3 linked regions of the Oryctolagus cuniculus genome follow. The protein of the gene in region 3 binds, or shares a complex with, the protein of the main gene of each other region. Links are inferred from orthologs where the notes say so. Each region holds a gene or a part of one and is shown on either strand. Other genes may lie near its edges.

Evidence for each region.
Region 1: TAF10 (region 3) and TAF13 share a complex: the UniProt entries of both Homo sapiens proteins name them as parts of the TFIID basal transcription factor complex. The link is inferred for Oryctolagus cuniculus from reciprocal best matches to the Homo sapiens genes TAF10 and TAF13.
Region 2: TAF10 (region 3) and TAF7 share a complex: the UniProt entries of both Homo sapiens proteins name them as parts of the TFIID basal transcription factor complex. The link is inferred for Oryctolagus cuniculus from reciprocal best matches to the Homo sapiens genes TAF10 and TAF7.

The regions. Positions count from the first base shown.
Region 1 is NC_091438.1:61,353,510-61,360,818, forward strand, and holds the start of TAF13 (transcription initiation factor TFIID subunit 13), read left to right. Parts: upstream 1-3,388; 5' UTR 3,389-3,488; coding exon 3,489-3,515; intron 3,516-4,365; coding exon 4,366-4,444; intron 4,445-7,309. UniProt on the Homo sapiens protein: The TFIID basal transcription factor complex plays a major role in the initiation of RNA polymerase II (Pol II)-dependent transcription.
Region 2 is NC_091437.1:28,857,676-28,864,851, reverse strand, and holds TAF7 (transcription initiation factor TFIID subunit 7), read left to right. Parts: upstream 1-3,358; coding exon 3,359-4,408; 3' UTR 4,409-4,881; downstream 4,882-7,176. UniProt on the Homo sapiens protein: The TFIID basal transcription factor complex plays a major role in the initiation of RNA polymerase II (Pol II)-dependent transcription.
Region 3 is NC_091432.1:60,279,544-60,286,340, forward strand, and holds TAF10 (transcription initiation factor TFIID subunit 10), read left to right. Parts: upstream 1-2,528; 5' UTR 2,529-2,565; coding exon 2,566-2,797; intron 2,798-2,937; coding exon 2,938-3,092; intron 3,093-3,332; coding exon 3,333-3,397; intron 3,398-3,483; coding exon 3,484-3,598; intron 3,599-3,779; coding exon 3,780-3,869; 3' UTR 3,870-3,946; downstream 3,947-6,797. Other genes in the region: TPP1 (tripeptidyl-peptidase 1), read left to right, coding at 162-302; ILK (integrin-linked protein kinase), read right to left, coding at 4,180-4,329, 4,506-4,636, 4,749-4,848, 4,939-5,060, 5,149-5,276, 5,384-5,493, 5,634-5,719, 5,825-5,908 and 3 more. UniProt on the Homo sapiens protein: The TFIID basal transcription factor complex plays a major role in the initiation of RNA polymerase II (Pol II)-dependent transcription.

The sequences.
Region 1 (7,309 bases), on a different chromosome or scaffold from region 3:
ACTGCACCCACATGAAGTTCCTGGCTTCAGTTTGGCCCAGCTCAGGCCACTATGGCCATTTGGGAAGTGAACCAGCCAATGGAAGTTCTCTCTCTCCTGGGCTGATCCAAAGCCAGGAGCCACGAGCTTCTTCCAGGTCTCCTATGTGGGTGCAGGAGCCCAAGGACTTGGGCCATCCTCTACTTCTTTCCCAGACCATAGCAGAGAGCTGGATTGGAAGTGGTACAGCCAGGACTTGAACTGGCACCCATATGGGATGCCAGCACTGCAGGCGGAGGCTTTACCTGCTGTGCCACAGCGCTGAGTTCCAGCTTTGGCTTCTGATACCGGCTTCCTACAGATCCTGGGAGGCGGTGACAATGGCTCAAATAATTGAGTTCCTGCCACCCATGTGGGAGATCTGGGTTGAAGCAGCAGATGGGAGCTTGCTCTCTGCCTGCCTCTTAAAAACAAGCAAAACAGGAAGGGCAGGTGGAGGGGTTCTTTCTCTCCATACCTTCATCCATACCTTCAATAACCTCTCCTCGTCATATTAATTTTCTTATTTTCTTTCTTTCTTTCTTTTCTTTTTTTTTTTTTTTTTGTTGACATAGTTAGACAGTGAGAGAGACAGAGAGAAAGGTCTCCCATGCGGGTGCAGGACCCAAGCACTTGGGCCAACCTCTACTGCCTTCCCAGGCCACAGCAGAGAGCAGGACTGGAAGAGGAGCAACCGGGACAGAATCCGGCGCCCCAATCAGGACTAGAACCCGGGGATTAGCCAAGTGAGCCGCGGCGCTGGCCTTTCTCTTTTTAAGATTCATAAACTTACCTGAAAGGCAGAATTACAGAGAGAGAGAGAGAGAGAAAGAGAGAGAGAAAAGCTTCCATCCACTGGTTCATTCTCCAAGTAGCTGTAACAGCCACTTGCTAGGTCAGGCCAAAGCCAGGAGCCAGGAACTCCAACTGGTCTCCCACATGAGTGGCAGGGCTCAGGCACTTTGGCCATCTTCCACTGCTTTCCCAGAGAGCTGGATTTGAAGTGGAGTAACTGGGACTCAAACTAGTGCTCCAATGTGGGATGCCACATTGCAGGTGATGGGTTAACCTGTTGTGCCACAATGCCGGCCCCCAAGCCACTAGGTTTTGGGGTAATTTGTTGCACAGTAATAACTGATTACCTATCTACCCACATAATTAAGAACATATACAGGGGCTGGTGCTGCAGCGAAACGGGTTAAGCCACTGCATGCAGTGCGGGCATCTCATATGGGTGCTGCTCTACTTCCCATCTAGCTCCCTTCTAGTGTGCCTGGGAAAGCAGTGGAAGATGGCCCAAATGCTTCGGCCCCTGCATCCACATAGGAAACTCAGAATAAGCTCCTGGTTCCTGGCTTTGGAGTGAACCAACAGATGGAAAATCTCTCTATCTCTCCTCTTTTTCTCTGTGACTCGGATTTTCAAATAAATAAATAAATAAATAAATCTTTTTTTTTTTTCTTTTAAAGGTAGGGCTAGAGAAAGAGAGAGAGACAAAGTGCTGGTTCACCCTCTAAATAGCCACAACAACCAGAGCTGAGTCATTCTGAGGCCATGAGCCAGGAGCTTCTTCTGGGTCTCCCACACCGGTGCAGGACCCAAACACTTGGGCCCTACGTCATTGCCTTTCCAAGCTGTAAGCAGAGAGCTGGATTGGAAAAGGAGCAGCTGGACATGAACCAGCGCCCATATGGGATTCTGGTGCCACAGACGGAGGCTTAGCCTACTGGCTAAGTGCCTGCCCAATCAAATTAAATCTTAAAAAAAAAAAAAAAATACAAGGTTGGTTCTGGTGCTGTGGCATAGTGGGTAAAGTTACCTCCTTGCAGTGCAGGCATCTCATATAGGCTCCCAGTTGCTGCACTTCCGAACCAACTCCTTGCTAATGTGCCTGGGAAAACAGCAGATGGCCCAAGTGCTTGGGCCCCTGCACCCATTTGGGAGATCCAGAAGCAGCTCCTGGCTCCTGGCTTCAGATTGGCTCAGCTCCTGCCATTGCGGCCATTTGGGGAAACCTCTCTCTCTCTTTCTCTGCCTTTCAAATAAATAAATAAATCTTTAAAAAATACAATGTGGCAAAATGCTGAAAATTGTTAAATCCTGAAACTAAAATGAGAACTTATCAAAAAATGCCCAAATAAGAAATAAATATAAAAGAATCTATTAATATGTTTTTTTTATTTTTTTTATTTTATTTATTTATTTTTTTGACAGGCAGAGTGGACAGTGAGAGAGAGAGACAGAGAGAAAGGTCTTCCTTTGCCGTTGGTTCACCCTCCAATGGCCGCCGCGGCCGGCGCGCTGCGACCGGCGCACCGCACCGGTCCGATGGCAGGAGCCAGGAGCCAGGTGCTTTTCCTGGTCTCCCATGGGGTGCAGGGCCCAAGCACCTGGGCCATCCTCCACTGCACTCCCTGGCCACAGCAGAGAGCTGGCCTGGAAGAGGGGCAACCGGGACAGAATCCGGCGCCCCGACCGGGACTAGAACCCGGTGTGCCGGCGCCGCAAGGCGGAGGATTAGCCTAGTGAGCCGCGGCGCCGGCCTATTAATATGTTTTTAACACGTAAATTCTCAGGCATGACAACACAGGAGGTATAATAACAATGTGGTTGCTTGTACCTAGATGTAAATTTACCTCGAATGTAGGAACTACAAATGTAGGCAGATTCCAGGTGAGCACTATTTAAATTACAAGCGATATTGCCTTTGGTGGCAGTATTTCCTCTTAATAAGTTCCAAACAAAGCAAAATGCAACAGATCACCAATTTTGAAGAAGTAACAGTCACAGGAAATCCAATGTTCATTAAAAGCATGGGAAAAATAGTTTATATAAAATAATATTTTCAGTCATTGAATGTTCAGCAGGACATAGAGAAATCGTGTGTATTATTGGACTTTTTTATCGTGTGGCATCATCCCTTAGGTTGCAGGATATTTTATGTCAACTCCAGCCTCTTACTGCGTGTTCTCATTGTTAAAACCCAAATTCTTCTCCAGAAAATTTTAAATCGTCTCTAAGGATAGCGCCCCCTTGAGAACTAGTAGTGAAATATAGTACCCCACAATAATTAACAAAGTGCTTGGGATCAATAGTGCAGGCGTAACTCATTGCACTTTAAAATACACCCCTCAGAGCAAGACCGCGGGATCGCCCTCCTACGCTCCAGGTCAGGAAAGGTGGATTCAACACGCACAAGGAGATGTAGGGTGATAAGAGGATACACACTGCCTGGTGCATTTCTTTCAGTTTGCTAAATTTTAGTTCCTTCCTCGGGATTACAGAACCCAGAGCTCACGCTGCTACCCTACAGACCGTCTCTCTCAGCGGTCGCTAGGCAGCTCCCCCTCCCAGGCGTGTTTGCGGGGACCCGGCCCCGCCCCCTACGTCACCGGAAGTGACGCAACGGAAGTAGTAAAAACCCGCTGAGAGCGAGCCGGCGCGGCACAGTAGGTTGTCGGGCTAGTGTAATGGCAGATGAGGAAGAAGATCCCACCGTGAGTGACCGCCTTTGTCCCAATCCTCCCTTTCGCTCAGGCTTAGTGACGGAAGCAGAGTTCAGAATGGGGTGTTTTCCTTAGTGAATTCAGTCGAGAGAGTTCGGGGACCAGTTGTGCTTGTCTTTTCCTTCAGCTTCATGGTTTTAGTACTCCGGGGCAGGACGTGAAGTAGTGGGAAGGTAGCCCCTTTCCCTTCGGATTCGGGCTGAATCTGCTAGACACTTTGTGAAACTAGACGATCGTCAGAGCTAATCACTCGTATTTGTTGGTGCTCGTTAAATGAACCAACAATCTAGCTGCTAACAGAATTGGATATTTATTGTGAAGTGTTGGAGAAATAACGGACCACAAATCAGAAGCCTGGATTTCAAAATCTCCATTCTCACCGAACAAGTTATTTAACTTTCAGCATCGGTTGTTCTTGATATAAAATAAGGTTAAAACAGATAAGGAAAGGTTTTAGCACTGTATAAGCAGGTGCTTAGTTAAAATTTTTCCTTTTTTGCTGCAGGGAGGTAGGCTTTGATTCAGTATCGGTCCTTGAATGGCAACACTGGCTAGCAGTAGACCAACTTAGTTGGTTTTAAACAAAAAGAACTTGCGGCTGTTAAAAGGCTTACGTGTCTAGGCAGGATTGTTGTGGACAGTGTAGAAACCATTTTTGCGGGAATTGAAATTTTGACTAGGTAGTCTCTAAGGGCTCTTTAGTGCTAAGTTATCATGATTTTTTAGTGCTTGCTTTTAAGCGTTTTGGCCTGATATTAGTGTTAAAAATGAAAGCAAGTTATTAAAATATCAAATGCAATGCAATCACTTGACATTTCTATATATACATTTTAACTTCTAGTTTGAGGAAGAAAATGAAGAAATTGGAGGAGGTGCAGAAGGTGGACAGGGTAAAAGAAAGAGACTCTTTTCTAAAGAATGTAAGTAGTATTTGACAGTGATTTTATTATAGATCATGCAAACTTTTGGACATGTCCTTTGGAATAGATTTATATTCTGAAAATGTTTGCAAGGATAATATTCTCAAAATTGCCAGTAAAGTTCAATTTAATTTTTGCCTTTTTTTAAAAGATTTATTTTTATTTTATTTGAAAGAGTTACAGAGTGAGGCAGAGTCAGAGAGAGAGGTAGGTCTTCCATCCTGTGGTTCACTCCCCAGATGGCCGCAATGGCTGGAGCTGTGCCGATCCGAAGCCAGGAGCCAGGAGCTTCTTCCATGCGGGTGCAGGGGCCCAAGGACTTGTGCCATCTTCTACTACTTTCCCAGGCCATAGCAGAGAGCTGGATCGGAAGAGGAGCAGCCAGGACTAGAACCGGTGCCCATATGGGATGCCAGCGCTTCAGGCCTGAGCTTTAACCTGCTGCGCCACAGCACCAGCCCCTCAGTTTAATTTTTGAATCACAGATACTAACCCCAGTTTAACGTATAATTGTGTTTTAAATTGTACAGAATTTAAGTGAGGGAATATTGTTATGTCTTTCTGTTAGGCTGTCACAAAAACACACCAAACTCCGGAGTAAGGGAAAGGGTTTATTGAGAAAAGCCAGCAGACCGGAAGGGTGAGGTGATGAAGGGAAAAAGGGAGAGGAGAGTATAAGAGAAAGAGACACGGAGAGTAGAGGAGCTAGTGAGGAGAGAAGAGAGACGAGAGGAGCCAAGAGAACAGGAGAGAAGAGCCAAGAGTGCCGCCTGTTCAGGAACAGGCCCTTTTAAACTTTGCCAGAGGGCGGGCAGGGAAACAGGAGCAGCGAATCCCGTTAGGATGGGGGTGGAGCTTGACACTGGTGGTTGGGCCATGTGGCTACATGGCTTTCAGCAATGGCTGTGAGAACCGGGGCATAGGATGTAAATCATGGTGTAGATAGCGCCATGGATAAAACTGCACCAGTTTCCTAACAAATATGATCAGTGTTTCAATTCAGGACAAAACAATATACCTCCACGTTTTCCTGGCCCTTACCTTTGCAACAGTAGAAGCAGGAGTTCTTTTGACTGTGGGCACTGAAACAGGTGCTGAGGGTAGGGGCTAAGTTGAGACTTTGGACTAAGGGCAGTGAACAGGGCAGGAAGGTGAGGAACAATGTGAGACATACAATGGCATGAAGATAATATAATGTGTTAGTGCTTTGTCCCACTCCCTCAGTAGACAGATTTTACCCTTTTTAGACAGCAGCATGAAGAAAGGAGATCTGTTCCTACTGCTGATAGTCCAGGACAACATTTAAAAGTCATCATGAGAATAGCTTTTTATCTCCCAGTACGGATTCCTTTATATCTATATAGCTGGGTATTGAGAGATGAGACAACACAGATTTAAGAATACCTGTTTATTAAGGTTGGGACAGATACGAGCAGTTTACATGTGATGTTAAAACTGCACATCAGTATGTCTTTTTTATTTGAAATTTATTTGAAAGGCAGAGTGACAGAAAAAGACAGAGATCTTCCATCTGATGGTTCGCTCATGCCCACAACAGCTGAGGCTTGGCTAGGCCAGGCGGATGCCAGTTGCCCAGAATGCCATTTGGGTCTCTTACATGGGTGGCAGTGGCCACAGTACCTGAGCCATCACCTGCTGCCTTCCAGAATCACAGCAGCAGGAAGCTGGATTCGAAGTAGAGTAGATGGGAGTCAAACAAGCACTCTGATGTGGAATGTCAGCCAAGGGTTGTGGGTGTCCCAAACTGGGCCCAACCTGCCACGCCACAATACCCACACCATGTTTTTTTTTTTTTTTTTTAACATTTATTTGAAATGCTGGGTTAGAGAGAGAGAGAATCTTCCATCCACTGGTTAACTCCCCAAATGGCCAGAACAGCTGGAACTGGCAGGTCTGAAGCCAGGAGCCTAGAAATTCTTTTGGGTCTCCCACATGGTTGTGGGGGCCCAAGCATTTGGATCGTCTTTCTTTACTTTCCCAGGTCATTAGCAGGGAGCTGGATTGGAAGTGGAGCAACCGAGTCTCGAACTGGTGCCCATATGGGATGGTGGCACTGCAAGCAGTGGTTTAACCTACTGTGCCATAGTGCCAGTCTACCGCCATATTTCTTTTTAATTGTAACCTTTTTCTGTATCTCACCTAAAGCTGAACATTGCTTATCCCATCTCTCTGATAATATTTATTACATTTGTATTACATTTTACTTACTTTACCAACGTAAGAAAGAGATCACTACTCCAGAGTATCTCGAAGTGATGCTTGCACAGTTGGTTATTAGCAAAGACCTTTGTTATACTTGGATTACTTTATCTTTATGATGACAAGAATTTGGAATTTTCATACTCTTCTCCATGTCTTATGAGTCTTCATATATCTTACTGAGATCTGTTTGCCACCAGAGGTGGGAAATGTCCAGGTGTGTGACATCTTTTGGTGTGGCCTGGCCAAGACAACCACAGGCAGGACTCAAAATTCAATCTACCTATATATAAAGATTCAGCAAATTGTAGCAGGCTAATTTCTAAGTTGATAGTTTTTATGGCCTGCAAATGATGTTATAAATATCCAAATGGCTCTTCACAGAGAAAAGATTCCGCACTCCTCTTTTTAAAGAAAATAATTTTTAAAGTGAGATTTATTTACTTATTTATTTGAAAGTCAGAATGACAAAGAGAGAAAGAACCAGCATCTGCTGGTTCACTCTTCAAATGGCAGCAACAGACAGGTCTGCCCCAGACCAAATCCAGGAGCCACGAATTCCATCCTGGTGTCCCACGTGGTTGGCAGGAACCCAAGTATATGGGCCATCTTTGCTGTCTTCCCATGTGCATTAGCAGGATGCTG
Region 2 (7,176 bases), on a different chromosome or scaffold from region 3:
TAAAATTTTTAAAGAGAATGTAAAACGTATTGGTAAGAGTTTTTAAGCTGATTCCATGATACAATTATATTTTAGGGAAATTGGATTAAATAAAATTACTGAAATTAATTCCACTTGCTTCTTTCTGATATTCTAATGTGGCTACTAGAGATTTTAAAATCATACCTGTGACTCACATTGTATTCCCACTGGACACAGCTGCTCTAGACTACCTGGTTTTTGAGATAATATTCTTCAAACCAGTGTAAGTTAGGTTTTGATTTTTTTTCCAATAGAAAGCATTTTTTAGTACAGGACCTGTGACACATTTTTAGTTAACTTGCTTTTTACTTTACAAATATATGATGACATAGCAGTGCATAAGCTTACTTTTTAAGAGTGCTTCCTCTTTCCTCAGCTCCATAATTTTCTTCCTCTAAAATTTAATTAGAACTTCTCACATCACCCATATTTATTTTATCCTCCATAATATAAGCAGTCTTTTTAAGTAATTTCATAGCTTATTAAAGGGATTTTTCAAACATACAGCATTAGCAGCAGTGACTGCAATACTCCTTAACCACAAGTAATGCTACCACACTGGAAAATTTTTTGCTGTCCCCAAATCTTTGGTTCACTCCTATTACAGATACTCTACAGAACATCCACAGGGGTAAAACTCTTTCACTAATTTAGAGTTTTTCTGTATGTCTAATGAATTTGAAAACAATCACAACTGGTGATATAGCAAAGATTTCAGTTGTAGAATCAGTATAACCCATATCCCCAAGTGAAAAACCAATAACTGGAAAATGTGTTAAATTCAAAAGCAAACAATATGTTTCAAGATTGTAGTAGGTAGTACTTTGGGAAAACTGGTATCAATCCTTTCAGTTATCTCTGATAATCTTCCATTTAGAGGTCTGCTAATTAAAACAGTCTTCTGGCAAATCAGAATTGCATACAATTCATGTCAAATTACCTTCTATACAAGTATATTTGAGCATCATGAAACACATGGAGAATTAAAATACAAAGTAATATTTGGATTATTTTCATATATGAGCATGGTCTTATATGGCTAAATAGAGCACTATGCAGAGAATAAATGCTTAAATTTATAAAATAAGTAAAAGCAGGTAAAATCAAAGGCCGACTAAAAATATCATCTTCAAAAAACAGGAAATAGATTATCCTGGAAATTACTGATGAATCAGCCAACATTCTTCAGCATATTATGGGACAGAAATAATGTGGTTACACGGAAGGACATACTTTCTCTTTAAAATGAACCAAAAAAGCAAACCTGTGCCAGCTCACTTTCATTTCCTCACGGTTTCACAGTTCGTTTGCACCACACTCACACCCTCTATTGGTAAAAACACTGTAACAACTGCTGCCATCCTTGACTAGAAAGGGAATGAATGTACTATAAAGTGACTCAAACTCGCTTTAAGTGACATAGAATTTATTTTCTCCAGCAAATTACTATATTTTTAAGACTATGTTATTTCTAGATGAGTCAACTGTTTCATTCAATTATCGAATTATTTTTGTGTGTCTCCAATATTCTGGTACTAGGCCCTGGGATATAATCTGGTGTAAGGAGGACAATCAACAAGTACACAAAGAAATAATGCAAATTCTAGAAATGTTAATCACTTTCTGGGAGTTCTCTTAAATTTAATTTGTTGTTAATATTTTAGAGGGCGTAGGTTAAATGACCTTGATGCTCTACCAAACGGATCCTACTAAAAAATAAATGGAAAAGAACAAAAATAAGTGGAAGCTGTTACAGCTGTGCCAAAGAACCACGAATATGCGGTGAAGAATCCCTGAGAATCCACATACGAGATAAGCAGAATACAGCAAAACAGTAGATGGAGTGGAAAAAAATTCCAAAGTAATTTAAAAATTACTGGTACGTTCCAGGCAGTAAAAATTCCTCATTTACACATTCTACTTTAGCCACAGCATCTGTCCACAGGTCCTAAGGACCTGTCTATTCTGTTTAAAGATTTATTTGAGAGGCCGAGCTACAGAGAAACCTGCTTACATTTCTATCTATGCCAACTACGCCAATGAGAAATCACCCCTGGCCCCCTGGAGAGCTCCCAAGCAGAAATAAACCCAGAAGCACGGTCCCCCTCCGGGCACTTTCATAATTAAAATACACACAGAACCACACAGTGGACAGCATGCTCTCCTTACGCCATTGATTTGGGAACTTTTAAATCCACTTTGTGGTTAGTTACAAATTCCTGCACCGACACCAGAATGGGTAACTCCTGGGGAACACGCGAGACGTTTCCCGAAGCAAAACGCTTTCTGCAAACATGCCCTGACCCCCGAAGTCTAGACGCTATCTCGGCGCTTGCCGGTCCGGTACAAATGCTGTCTCAGCAGGGGGAGGCTCTGTGACCTTCCTGCAATCGTTATCTCTTATTTTCAAACTAGGTCGGCAGGAAACTTCATTTTCACGCCCTAAAACAATTCCCCTGGATCCAGAGAACGAGTCCCGGCCGGAATCGCAGCGCCGCGACTGCGTCTGCGCGCGCTCGGGGCGGGCCGTCTTTCCGCCCGGCCGTGCTGTCACTCACGGCCGCTTCCCGCCCCGCGCCGTGACGCAGCGCGGCTTTAAAGCCAGCTCTGCAAGCGGCTGCAGGCAGACGCCTGCGGAGCCTCCGGTGTGTGGCTCTGCGCAGCGCGTCTCGGCGAAATTTCGCGCTTCCCGCCGGGACCGAAGCATTGGTAATCAGTAGCGGATCACTCAGCTGAGCAGCAGGAAGAACAAAGGAGTCGGCGAGAGAAGAGGCTCCCCGCCGCTTTGCAGCGAGTGGCTTCCTCCCCCCGCCGCCTGCGCCCGGCGCGAAGCTGAATTTATAACCGTCACTGGATTGTAAGTACCCGAGGCAAAGGCAGCTCGCTGCGTCCCGCTTTTTCAGTTATGCTTGTTTCGGGAGGGTTTGGGTCGGTGTTGACTGCTTGTCCTAATTTTGTGCCGTCTTCATTCTGCAGGAGCCGCCATTTGCTTTCCTGCTCGCTCGCTCGCCCGCTTGCTCTGTCTGCATTGTCTGGAGGCGGCACCTAGAGGCTGGAACTCGGCATTGCAGCTCCAGGCTTTAAATGGACTTAATTCTCTGAATAAGCCAGTGTGTCGGTAACAAACAGCGGGTGTGGAGTGCAGCATATTTAGAGAAAAGATTTGTGGCTTGATTAAAAATTAAGACAAAACAGATGCTTAGCTACTGTTCTGCATAGAACCTTCTGTTGTTAGATTTTAATTCATAAGGAACTGGTCTTTTAAATTGTTGCAGTAGCTGAAACTTTTCAGTGCAGCAAGTGTTTATTAGGAGAAGGGAGTCAGAAAGAAGTGAAGATGAGTAAGAGCAAAGATGATGCCCCTCATGAGCTGGAGAGCCAGTTTATCTTGCGCCTGCCTCCAGAATATGCTGCTACTGTGAGGAGGGCAGTGCAGTCGGGGCATGTCAACCTGAAAGACAGACTGACCATCGAGTTACACCCCGATGGGCGTCATGGAATTGTCAGAGTGGACCGGGTCCCTCTGGCCTCAAAACTGGTGGATCTGCCGTGTGTTATGGAAAGCTTGAAAACCATCGATAAAAAAACCTTTTACAAGACTGCTGATATCTGTCAGATGCTCGTGTCCACAGTTGATGGTGATCTTTATCCCCCTGTGGAGGAGCCAGTTGCTGCTGCTGACCCCAAAGCAAGCAAGAAAAAGGATAAGGACAAAGAGAAAAAGTTCGTCTGGAACCATGGAATTACTCTGCCTCTAAAGAATGTCAGAAAGAGAAGATTCCGGAAGACAGCAAAGAAAAAGTATATTGAGTCTCCAGACGTGGAGAAAGAAGTGAAGCGGTTGCTGAGTACAGATGCGGAAGCTGTCAGTACTCGCTGGGAGATAATTGCTGAAGATGAAACAAAAGAGACGGAGAATCAAGGCCTTGACATCTCTTCCCCAGGAATGTCTGGCCACAGGCAGGGCCAGGACTCCCTGGAGCACGATGAGCTTCGGGAGATATTCAATGACCTCAGCAGCAGCAGCGAGGATGAAGATGACACCCAGCACCAGGACGAAGAAGATATAAACATCATCGACACTGAGGAAGACCTGGAGAGACAGCTGCAGGACAAGCTGAATGAGTCAGATGAACAGCACCAAGAAAACGAAGGGACCAACCAGCTGGTTATGGGCATTCAGAAGCAGATTGACAACATGAAAGGCAAGCTCCAGGAGACCCAGGACAGGGCCAAGCGACAGGAGGATCTCATCATGAAGGTGGAAAACCTGGCTCTCAAGAACAGATTTCAGGCTGTGCTGGATGAGTTAAAACAAAAGGAAGACCGAGAAAAGGAGCAGCTCAGCTCTTTGCAGGAAGAGCTGGAGTCACTCCTAGAGAAGTAAGAAGAATTTTGATCATTTTGAACCTGATGGTTCCACACTAAGAAAATCTTCATCACTTTTTCTGGATTTTAAGATTTTGCAGTAGTTCCCGTTCCTTCTAATGCTAGAAGTTCTTTTTAAATTATCTTGTTTTCAAGAAGCACTTTGCTAGGTGTTCATTCTATAGAATTAGGATTGACTAGGCAGTAATGTAATTGTTAGGAAGTTGTAGGGTTAGTGGAATGAACAGCTGAACCCTAATATTCACAGCTGCATTGCAGGACTTTGCTGCTGTTTCCCCATTTCCCGGAAGCTGCTATTGCTGCCATGTGGTGCCTTCTGAGATAGGTAAGAACCTAGTGTAGAGGCAATGAAGTTGGTTTGCATATGTTTCCCTAACTATTTTCTCAGTTAAATCAAAGCAGTTTCACACATGTAGAGATGCAAATAATTTCATAAGGTTTCTAACATAAATAAAAGCGACTAATTTTCAACTTATGTGTCTTGATTTTTTCATTGGTAATAGGAGTCAGATAATCTTTTGAGGTGGTTTCTCGGTAGAGTTTAATGATTGGTCAGTTTGGTCCTGCTTTGCAGGTAAAGAAGCAGTTGTGGGTTAAAAAAAAAAAAAAAAAGGAACATAGCAGAAATTGGGAAATGTCATCTTTGCATTCTATTAAGGTTCTAATCCACCTGCTCCATCAGGAGGCTGGAAAACATGAGATACAGAGCCATTCTAAACTACTCTAGTATTTGTAGATGAAGGCCTGCTTTACCCTTTTTTTTTTTTTTTTTTTTTTGACAGGCAGAGTGGACAGTGAGAGAGAGAGAGAGAGAGAGAAAGGTCTTCCTTTGCCGTTGGTTCACCCTCCAATGGCCGCCGCTGCAGCCGGCGCACCGCGCTGATCCTGGCAGGAGCCAGGAGCCAGGTGCTTTTCCTGGTCTCCCATGGGGTGCAGGGCCCAAGCACCTGGGCCATCCTCCACTGCACTCCCTGGCCATAGCAGAGAGCTGGCCTGGAAGAGGGGCAACCGGGACAGAATCCGGCGCCCCAACCGGGACTAGAACCCGGTGTGCCGGCGCCGCAAGGTGGAGGATTAGCCTATTGAGCCACGGCGCCGGCTGCTTTACCCTTTTTTAAAAGCACTGTTTTTACCTGCAGAAAATATTGGGAATAAAAACAATGGCTATCAAGTGAAGTCCAATGAACCACAGCACTGGTTTGGATTAGATTATGTTTCCAATTATTTTTATTTTAATTCCACAGTTATTTAATATCCTGATAAGTGATTTAGCCACTTCATTTCACTGAAATCCTTAAGGAAGTCAGTACCATAGTCTGGCATTACAAAATTTCTTTTAACAGTTTTCATACTCTCTTAAACTTCCCATGCCCTTAAAGATAATTTAATGCTTTACACTTGATCTGTTCTTGAAAATCAGTGATAAAATTTATGAAATGCAGTGTTATATGCAATTCACTTTTGACAGCTTTACTTGCCTAAAAAATGGTTTGGTTTTAAAATACTAGCCTCATGAAGTAAACATTTCAAGCCCATTTAAAATTTCTGTTTGATAGGAAACATGTTAAAACTAATTAGAACCAAAGTAAAATGAATGCTGAGACTTTGAGACTTCACAAGGGTAACTTTTTCCCCTACAAGATCATTTTTAATTTACAAAAACATTTTCAGAACTTGGGAGGTTTTAGTGTGGAACTTGTAGGGTTAAGCAAGGTTTCCCTCAGTGTCTGGAATTTGGATTATTTTTTGACATTTGGTAATACAAAGCAAATTTCCTCAATGTGTTTGGGTGTTGGTAACAGATTCTCCTGTTTTAGTACATATGACTGCAGTGATACCTGAACAGCTCCCCCCATGCTGGGTTTTACAGTAGAACACTTGCCAAGTTTTTTTTTTAAGAGTTATTTACTTATTTGAAAGAGTTACAGATCTAAGGGGAGAGACAGAGATCCTCCATCTGCTGATTGACTCCATAATTGGCTGCAACAGCCAGGGCTGGGCCAGGCTGAAGCCAGAAACGTGTCCAGATCTCCCAAGTGGGTGCCAGGGGCCCAAACACTTGGGCCATCTTCTGCTTTTCCGAGGACATTAACGGTGAGCTGTTTGGAAGTGGAGCAGCATGGGCACTAACCAGCTATGCCACAGTGTCAGCCTCTCAAATAATTTAATCAAGATCTCAGCATCAAAGATAGCTGAGTTCCCTCAGCAATGGAAAAGAAGTATGGTAGATACTCTAACAAAACAGCCTGCTGCCCCCATTATTACTTTTTTAATTATTAGCTCTGTGCTGAATCTGAGGTCTCCATTAATTATATTTGAGGCTCAGAAGAGAGCAGGTTTATTATTCACCTCTGTACTGGAAGCACACTTGAAACATCCTTCAGGAAACTCGACAAAATAGAACACTTCCTCTCTCAAGAAACTTGCTTTTCCTTCTGAGTTTCTGTGAAAATAAATGGTACTACATCTTCAACTCCTGAAGCTAAAACTTGAGCCATAACTCTTTGATTTCTCCCTTCACTTAACCACTTACGATTTCTACTTCCAAAAAAACTTCAATTACTACTTCATCTGCACCCCACTGTCCTAATGCAAGCCACTGTTACCTTGCCTGGCAAGTGATGGTAGCTTCCTAACTGGTGTGTATAAATAAACATTTAAAAAAATCTTTTTATTTGAAAGAGCTATAGAGAGGGAAGAGACAGATCTTCCATTTACTGGTTCACTCCCCAAATGGTCACAACAACCAGACCCAGGCCAGGCAGA
Region 3 (6,797 bases):
GGTGTGGATGTTTTCATACGAGTATGGGGAGTGCTAAAATGAACTTGGGGGGAATTCTGATAGGGTAAGATAGCCTCTGGGATGTGAACACAGGATGATAAGATAGAGTTTGTTAGTACTGCTATCAGCAAGCCCAGATCTGATGCTCACCTCTTTCCTAGGTAACCCATGGCTGCCATGAGTCCTGTCTGAATGAAGAGGTGGAGGGTCAGGGTTTCTGCTCTGGCCCTGGCTGGGATCCTGTGACAGGCTGGGGAACACCCAACTTCCCAGCTCTACTGAAGGCATTGCTCAACCCTTGACCCTTTCCTGTCCCGAGAGCTGTCCTCTCTCCTGCCCTACAGCTAGTGGCTCCATCCCTTATTCTGCCCTGTTGGAAGTTCTGTTGAACCCTCAGTTGTTGAGTGCTTCAGCTTATCTCCCTAACCCTGAAATGCTGTGAGCTTTACTTGACTCCCAACCCTACCCTTATCTGTCATACTCAGGTGTCTCTACTCTTGCCTCAAGTTCTCAACAGGATGCTATAACCAGTGTTTTTGTGGCTGCCTCCTCTCTTCCTCTCTTTAACCAGGCCTTTCCGAAGGGTTCTCTACATTGACTGTGTATGCTATTTTACTTCTTCACTTGTCCCAATTCATGGCATGGGACCTCTGCTCTCCCCTTTTACTCTTTCCTCCCCTGATAAGAAACAGTGGCCTCCCTGCTACTTCATCCAGTACACACTTGCCAATCTTTGCTTTATACCTTTCCATCATAGCTGCCCATTCTCCTTTCTACCCTAGCATCCTGGGCTTAACTTATTGTCTGATTATCCCTCTCTTCCTCCATGGAATTCTCTTTTTCTGCTTTCTCATAGAATATTAGAGTTGTTCATTGCTCCTTTCTTAATCATTTGCTTTTCTTACTCATTGTCCCATGGAACAAATCAATGGCATCTACAGCAATCACTATCTCACTAAATCAGACTTTCTATACAGTTGTGATGGATACCTCAAATACAAGATGTGTGATACTCAATACTTATCTCACTCCATCTCAACCCCAAAATATTCGACCTATTATTTGTCTTTGGTAAACAACATTATGTCTCTTCCAACCAAGCCTGAAATCTGTGCCATCCTTGACTCCTCTATTTCCTTCACCTATCACCATATTCAATCAACATCCCTACAGATTTTGCCTCTTAAAAAAAAAAGTGTTTATCAATTTACAATGCATTCCAACTATATTTAAATATATTTAGAACTTACCCATTCTCTCTTTTCCCAGTGCTACCATATTAGCTTTGAACCATATTCTCTCTCTTCTGAATATGCAGGAGGCCCTTGCAAAAATAGTGTCCATGCTTCCTACCCAGCCTTAATACATTTTCCAAAGTAAAATGTAAACCTCCTCAGGCCATTTACTTGATTAAAATCCTTCAAAATTACTGGATAAAGTTCAGGCTTGGTTCACAAACCTTTTCTGCTATTTGCTCCTGAGTAACAAAATCATTTTTCCTTCCCTTAAGGAACTCGCCCTAGTTGAAGCCACCCCTGATAGAAATGCCTGGTTAATTTCCAGGATTCTTTACAGACTCAGCTCTAAAGTCATCTCATTGAAGGTTTAGATTCCCAGAAGCTAACTGATTTTTGTGTAGCATAAAAATCCTAGATTTTTGTAACCAAACCTGAGTGAACCTTGGTTGCAATACAAATGAGAACCTTGAGCAAAAGAGTTTATCGCCTTGAGCCCATTTCCTCATTACCTGTCTTTCATAACAATCAGGGAATAATTCAGTGGAATAATGCCGACGGAGCGCTTGGCACCTGGAAGTAGGCAGCAATTGTTCCCTTCCTCCATTGCACTGCACGCACTGCCTACCTCTAGCATCGTTAACGCCCATATGGTATTGAAATTGCCAGTTTACCTCCTTTTCCAAGACCACTGGTGCCTACAGAACTAGAATTTTGTCCTACTTAACTTTGTATTCCCAGTCAAGAGTGGCTCAAGAGTTGGCAAATACGAATTAAATAAATGTTTGCGGAATGGGAAACCTCATGCTTTCGCTTGATGTGATTTTGTTTCCTTAGGCTGAAATACTCTCCTCTCCATCTACAGCATCACTGAATGCGGCACTCTCCCTTGCAGGCAGTTGGCTTGGGAGGGGGCTTTCCAACGCCACTCTGAACCTTTAAAAGGTTGAATAAGGAAACCAGGAAAATGCGGACTGGCAGACTAGGGGTGCCGGGCCGATGAGCCCCAAATCAAGGTCTTGGAACGTCCGATTGAATGAGGAGTCCTCGACCCGTAATTAGAGCCCGGGACCCACAAGTGCGGAGTCGACTGGGAGCACCGCGGGGTGGAGGGTGGAATGGCGACCGCGTAGTTCTCCCGGATTGGTCTCCGCCCCCTTGCCTCCTCGCCTAACCCGCCGTGAGGCAAAGAAAGGAGGCGGGAAGCCGCAGGGACCGAGCAAATATTGACAGGCGGGGCGAGTCGGGGAGCGCGTGACGTCACTCTGGGGTGTGCGTAACGTGAGCGGAAGCGGAAGCGGCTCTGTTCGCCGCCTCTCCCACCAGCCCGATGAGCTGCAGCGGCTCCGGCGCGGACCCCGAGGCGGCGCCGGCCTCCGCCGCCTCGGCCCCGGGCCCGGCACCCCCGGTCTCGGCTCCCGCCGCGCTGCCCACCAGCACCGCCGCGGAGAACAAGGCCAGCCCCGCGGGGACAGCAGGGGGGCCTGGGGCTGGAGCCGCGGCCGGGGGCGCGGGACCCGTGGCGGCGCGGGCTGGGGAGCCCACCGAACGGCGCGGGGCGGGTGAGGGCCGGGACGGGTGAGGGTGAGGGAAGAGCCTTGGACGGGGCTTCGCGGCGGGTGAGGGTTGAGGGTACAAGGCAGATCTGCCTGGGACCCTGCGCCTGTCACCTCCGTGTCTCAGTTTGCTGGTTCTCCTCCAGCTCCGGTGTCGGCGGGCGGCGCGGCACCCCCGGAGGGGGCGATGTCTAACGGGGTTTACGTACTACCGAGCGCGGCCAACGGAGACGTGAAGCCCGTGGTGTCTAGCACGCCTCTGGTGGACTTCTTGATGCAGCTGGAGGACTATACGCCTACGGTGGGCTTCCCGCCTGAACAAGGCCATCTGGCCCGCATCCACGCCAACTTACAGCCACACCTCCGTGCTTTCCAGCGTCATCTTACATTTGCTCCCCTACTAGCTCTTGTGATTTAGTCCCTCCGCCCACCCAAACTGTGAGCTTCTTGATAGCCAGGCCTATCCTCTCTCCCTCACCCTCCTCCCACAGCCCAGCAGGGAGCAGGACTAATGCTGACAGTTGTCTCATTGATTTCTCAGATCCCAGACGCAGTGACTGGTTACTACTTGAACCGTGCTGGCTTTGAGGCCTCAGACCCACGCATGTGAGTAAACCCAGGGTAGGCTAGAGCTTTGAGTGCTTCTGCAGGTTGTTGTCCACCTCCTTCTCATACCAGTTTTTTCTCTCTAGAATTCGGCTCATCTCCCTAGCTGCCCAGAAATTCATCTCAGATATTGCCAACGATGCCCTACAGCACTGCAAAATGAAGGGCACAGCCTCTGGCAGCTCCCGGAGCAAGAGCAAGGTGTGAGGGGAGGCTCACTTAACCAGTAATTACCCTCCACAGCAGCGGAGGCTTAACTTATCCTGAGAGCCCTGTGGGGAAACTAAGTCCCAGGGGAGGTGTAAGGCTACTCAGGATCACCCACCTGGGACTTCAATCTCGGATTCCTGTGCTCAGCTGGTACTCTTCCCTCTTCCCTCAGGACCGCAAGTACACTCTAACCATGGAGGACTTGACCCCTGCCCTCAGCGAGTATGGCATCAATGTGAAGAAGCCGCACTACTTCACCTGAGCCACGCAACCTAAATGTACTTCTCTATCCCCATGTCCCCACACCAGCCTGTTTTCGTAATAAACTTTATTGTGACAGGCGGGGCTGATCCCTCCCATTCTGGGAGACACCGTGTGGCAAGTGACAAAGCTCTGAGCCCAGCCCCTTTTGGGGCCACAGTGGTAGGGATGGGGGCAGAGGATGGGCCCCATGGCTGGGGTAGTACCATGACTGGAGGCAGGGGAGGCAACCAGAGGCCTACTGCTTTGGGGAGTTACACTCCCCCAACCATGTCCTGACACCTTGGAGTTTCAGCAAGGACCTTGCAGTTCTATTTGTCCTGCATCTTCTCCAGGATAGGCACAATCATGTCAAATTTGGGTCGCTTAGCAGGGTCTTCATTCATGCAGATCTTCATGAGCTTGCACACATGGGGGGAAATACCTGGTGGGATGGTGGGCCGAAGGCCTTCCAGTGCCACCTGCGAATACAAGGAAAATTAAGATGAGCTTCAGAATTTGAGTGTGTCATACAGGAAGAGACCTCTGACCCTTGGGACAGGATTATGTATCTGAACAACTGTGGGTAGAGCTACAATTATTGTCACCACACCCATCTTTTCTGCCCCAACAGAAGGGTATGCACATCTGCTCTCACCTTCATTCCAATCTCCATATTGGAGAGGTCAGCAAAAGGTACCTCTCTTGTCACCAGTTCCCACAGAAGCACTGCAAAACTCCACATGTCTGCTGAGCGTCTGTTTGTGTCTTCAGGCTTCTTCTGCAAAGCTGGAGAGATAGGGCTTATTTGTTCCAGCTGCCTAGCCTGTCCTGTCTCTGCCTTCTTCCACTGCTACTCAGCTGGTCATTCTCTACCTCCCAATGCAATGCCCTCACCCACCTTCAGGGGCTACCCAGGCAGGTGCATACATGCGTCCAGGGCATTGGAAAGAGAACTTGACATCGGCCATGCTGATCCGGGCAGTCATGTCCTCATCAATCTGGAGAAGATAGGTATGTGGAAGGTGAGTCCTATTCTAGGTAGGCAAAGGGCTATTGGGCCTGGGCCAGGAGTGAACTTGTGGCCTCACCATTACACTACGGCTATTGAGTGCATGTCGTGGGATGAGGGGCTCTAGTGTGTGTAGGAATGCCATGCCCCTTGCCATGTCCAAAGCAAACTTCACAGCTTGGCTCTGGTCCACGACAAAATCTAAGAAGAGACAAGAGTCAAATCACTTGGAGAGGCTCATGTACCATTCCTCATCCCTATCCCAGTGAAACTCAGCATCCCTACTCACTGGTGCCTTCATGTAGTACATTGTAGAGGGATCCATATGGCATCCAGTGCGTAATGAGGGTTGGGTGAGGAGCAGGTGGAGACTGGCAGGCTCCTAGCACTGGGAGAACATTTGGATGCGAGAAAATCCTGGGAGAGGGAGAGAGTGTGGCTGAGAGCTAGTATAGAAGTCATCCCCCTCAGTGCTATTGAAGGTTCTTTGGAACCAGTAGCTTGCAGTTTAGGCCTTGCCCCACCTGAGCCGAGGACACTCCTCATTGAAGTCTCTGCTCTTCCTTGTACTCCAGTCTCGAACCTTCAGCACCTTCACCACGATGTCATTGCCCTGCCAGCGGCCCTTCCACAACTGAAGGACAGGTAGGGATTAGGAGGCTTTAATTAAGGCTGCACGTCTTTGCCCACTAACTGGAGGGAAACTTACAACAGGTGTAAAGCAGGTAACTTGAGTGCAATTAAAGAGAAAAGGGCAAGAAAGGCAGAGGTCACCTCTCCTGAATGATTCTCGTTGAGCTTCGCCAGAAAGTTGAGCTGTTTGAAGTCAATGCCAGAGTGCTTGTTCAGAGTCCCATTTCCTGAGAATTAGGGACAGGTCAGATATCCAGCATCAACCCTGACCCAGCCCGAGGAACCCATGGTAATTCTCCCTTACACCCCTCCTCCTCCAAACAGTGACTCACGGGGCCGAGTGCGGGTGGTCCCCTTCCAAAATGTGTCCTTGTATGGAATACGGTTCAGATTCTGGCCCATCTTCTCTGCCCGCTCTGGGGGGAAAAAAACCAGTCTTAGCCTGAGCTGTGGTAGGGACGGACAGGATGACAGACGCTGCGGGTGGGAGCTGGACCTCGGAGAAGCTCTCTTAGGGGTGCCTTCGCTTTGTCCACAGGCATCTCTCCATACTTGTTACAGATGCTGACAAGGGCCCCGTTAGCAACCAGATCCTGGAATGAAAAGATAGTTGTAATGAGGACCCCTGCTATTTCCCTAGCAGTCCCAGCCAACCCCCCCCCACACACACACACACAAACACACATGCTGTGTACAACCCCATAAATTATCACACAGTAGTGCTGACAGGTTAAGGGTTCCAGAGTATTCCACTCAGGATCAGAGGTTGCTTCTCACCAATCCAAGGACTCACCTCTGCCACTTGGTCTTGGCCCCAAAAGCAGGCATAGTGCAGGGGCACATTCCCATGCTCATTCACTGCATTGATGTCAGCTTTGTACTGCAACAGCTGGGCCCCATGGCCAAACAGAGAAAGGCACAGTCAGTCTAAATGAGCTCTCCGTATCAGGATGTGTGAAAAGGAAGAAGAGTATACACTTTCTACTGTATATTCCAGTGCCTGTGGTGGACCTTATATGGCATGTATATCATGTGGGTGATGGAGGGTTCATACATACCTTCTGTACAATATCACGGTGTCCATGGCTGGCAGCCAGGTGCAGGGGGGTATCATCTCCACGGTTCATCACATTGATCCGTGCGCCCCGCATGATGAGCATCTCAACCACAGCAGAGCGACCCTCTCGGCAGGCCCAGTGCAAAGGGGAGAAGCCATGATCATCCCTTTGAAAAAGGGGCAATGGTAATTGGGTTGGATGGGGCAAAGGCTTTTATTTATGAAAAAATAGTCCTATACTCTCTGGG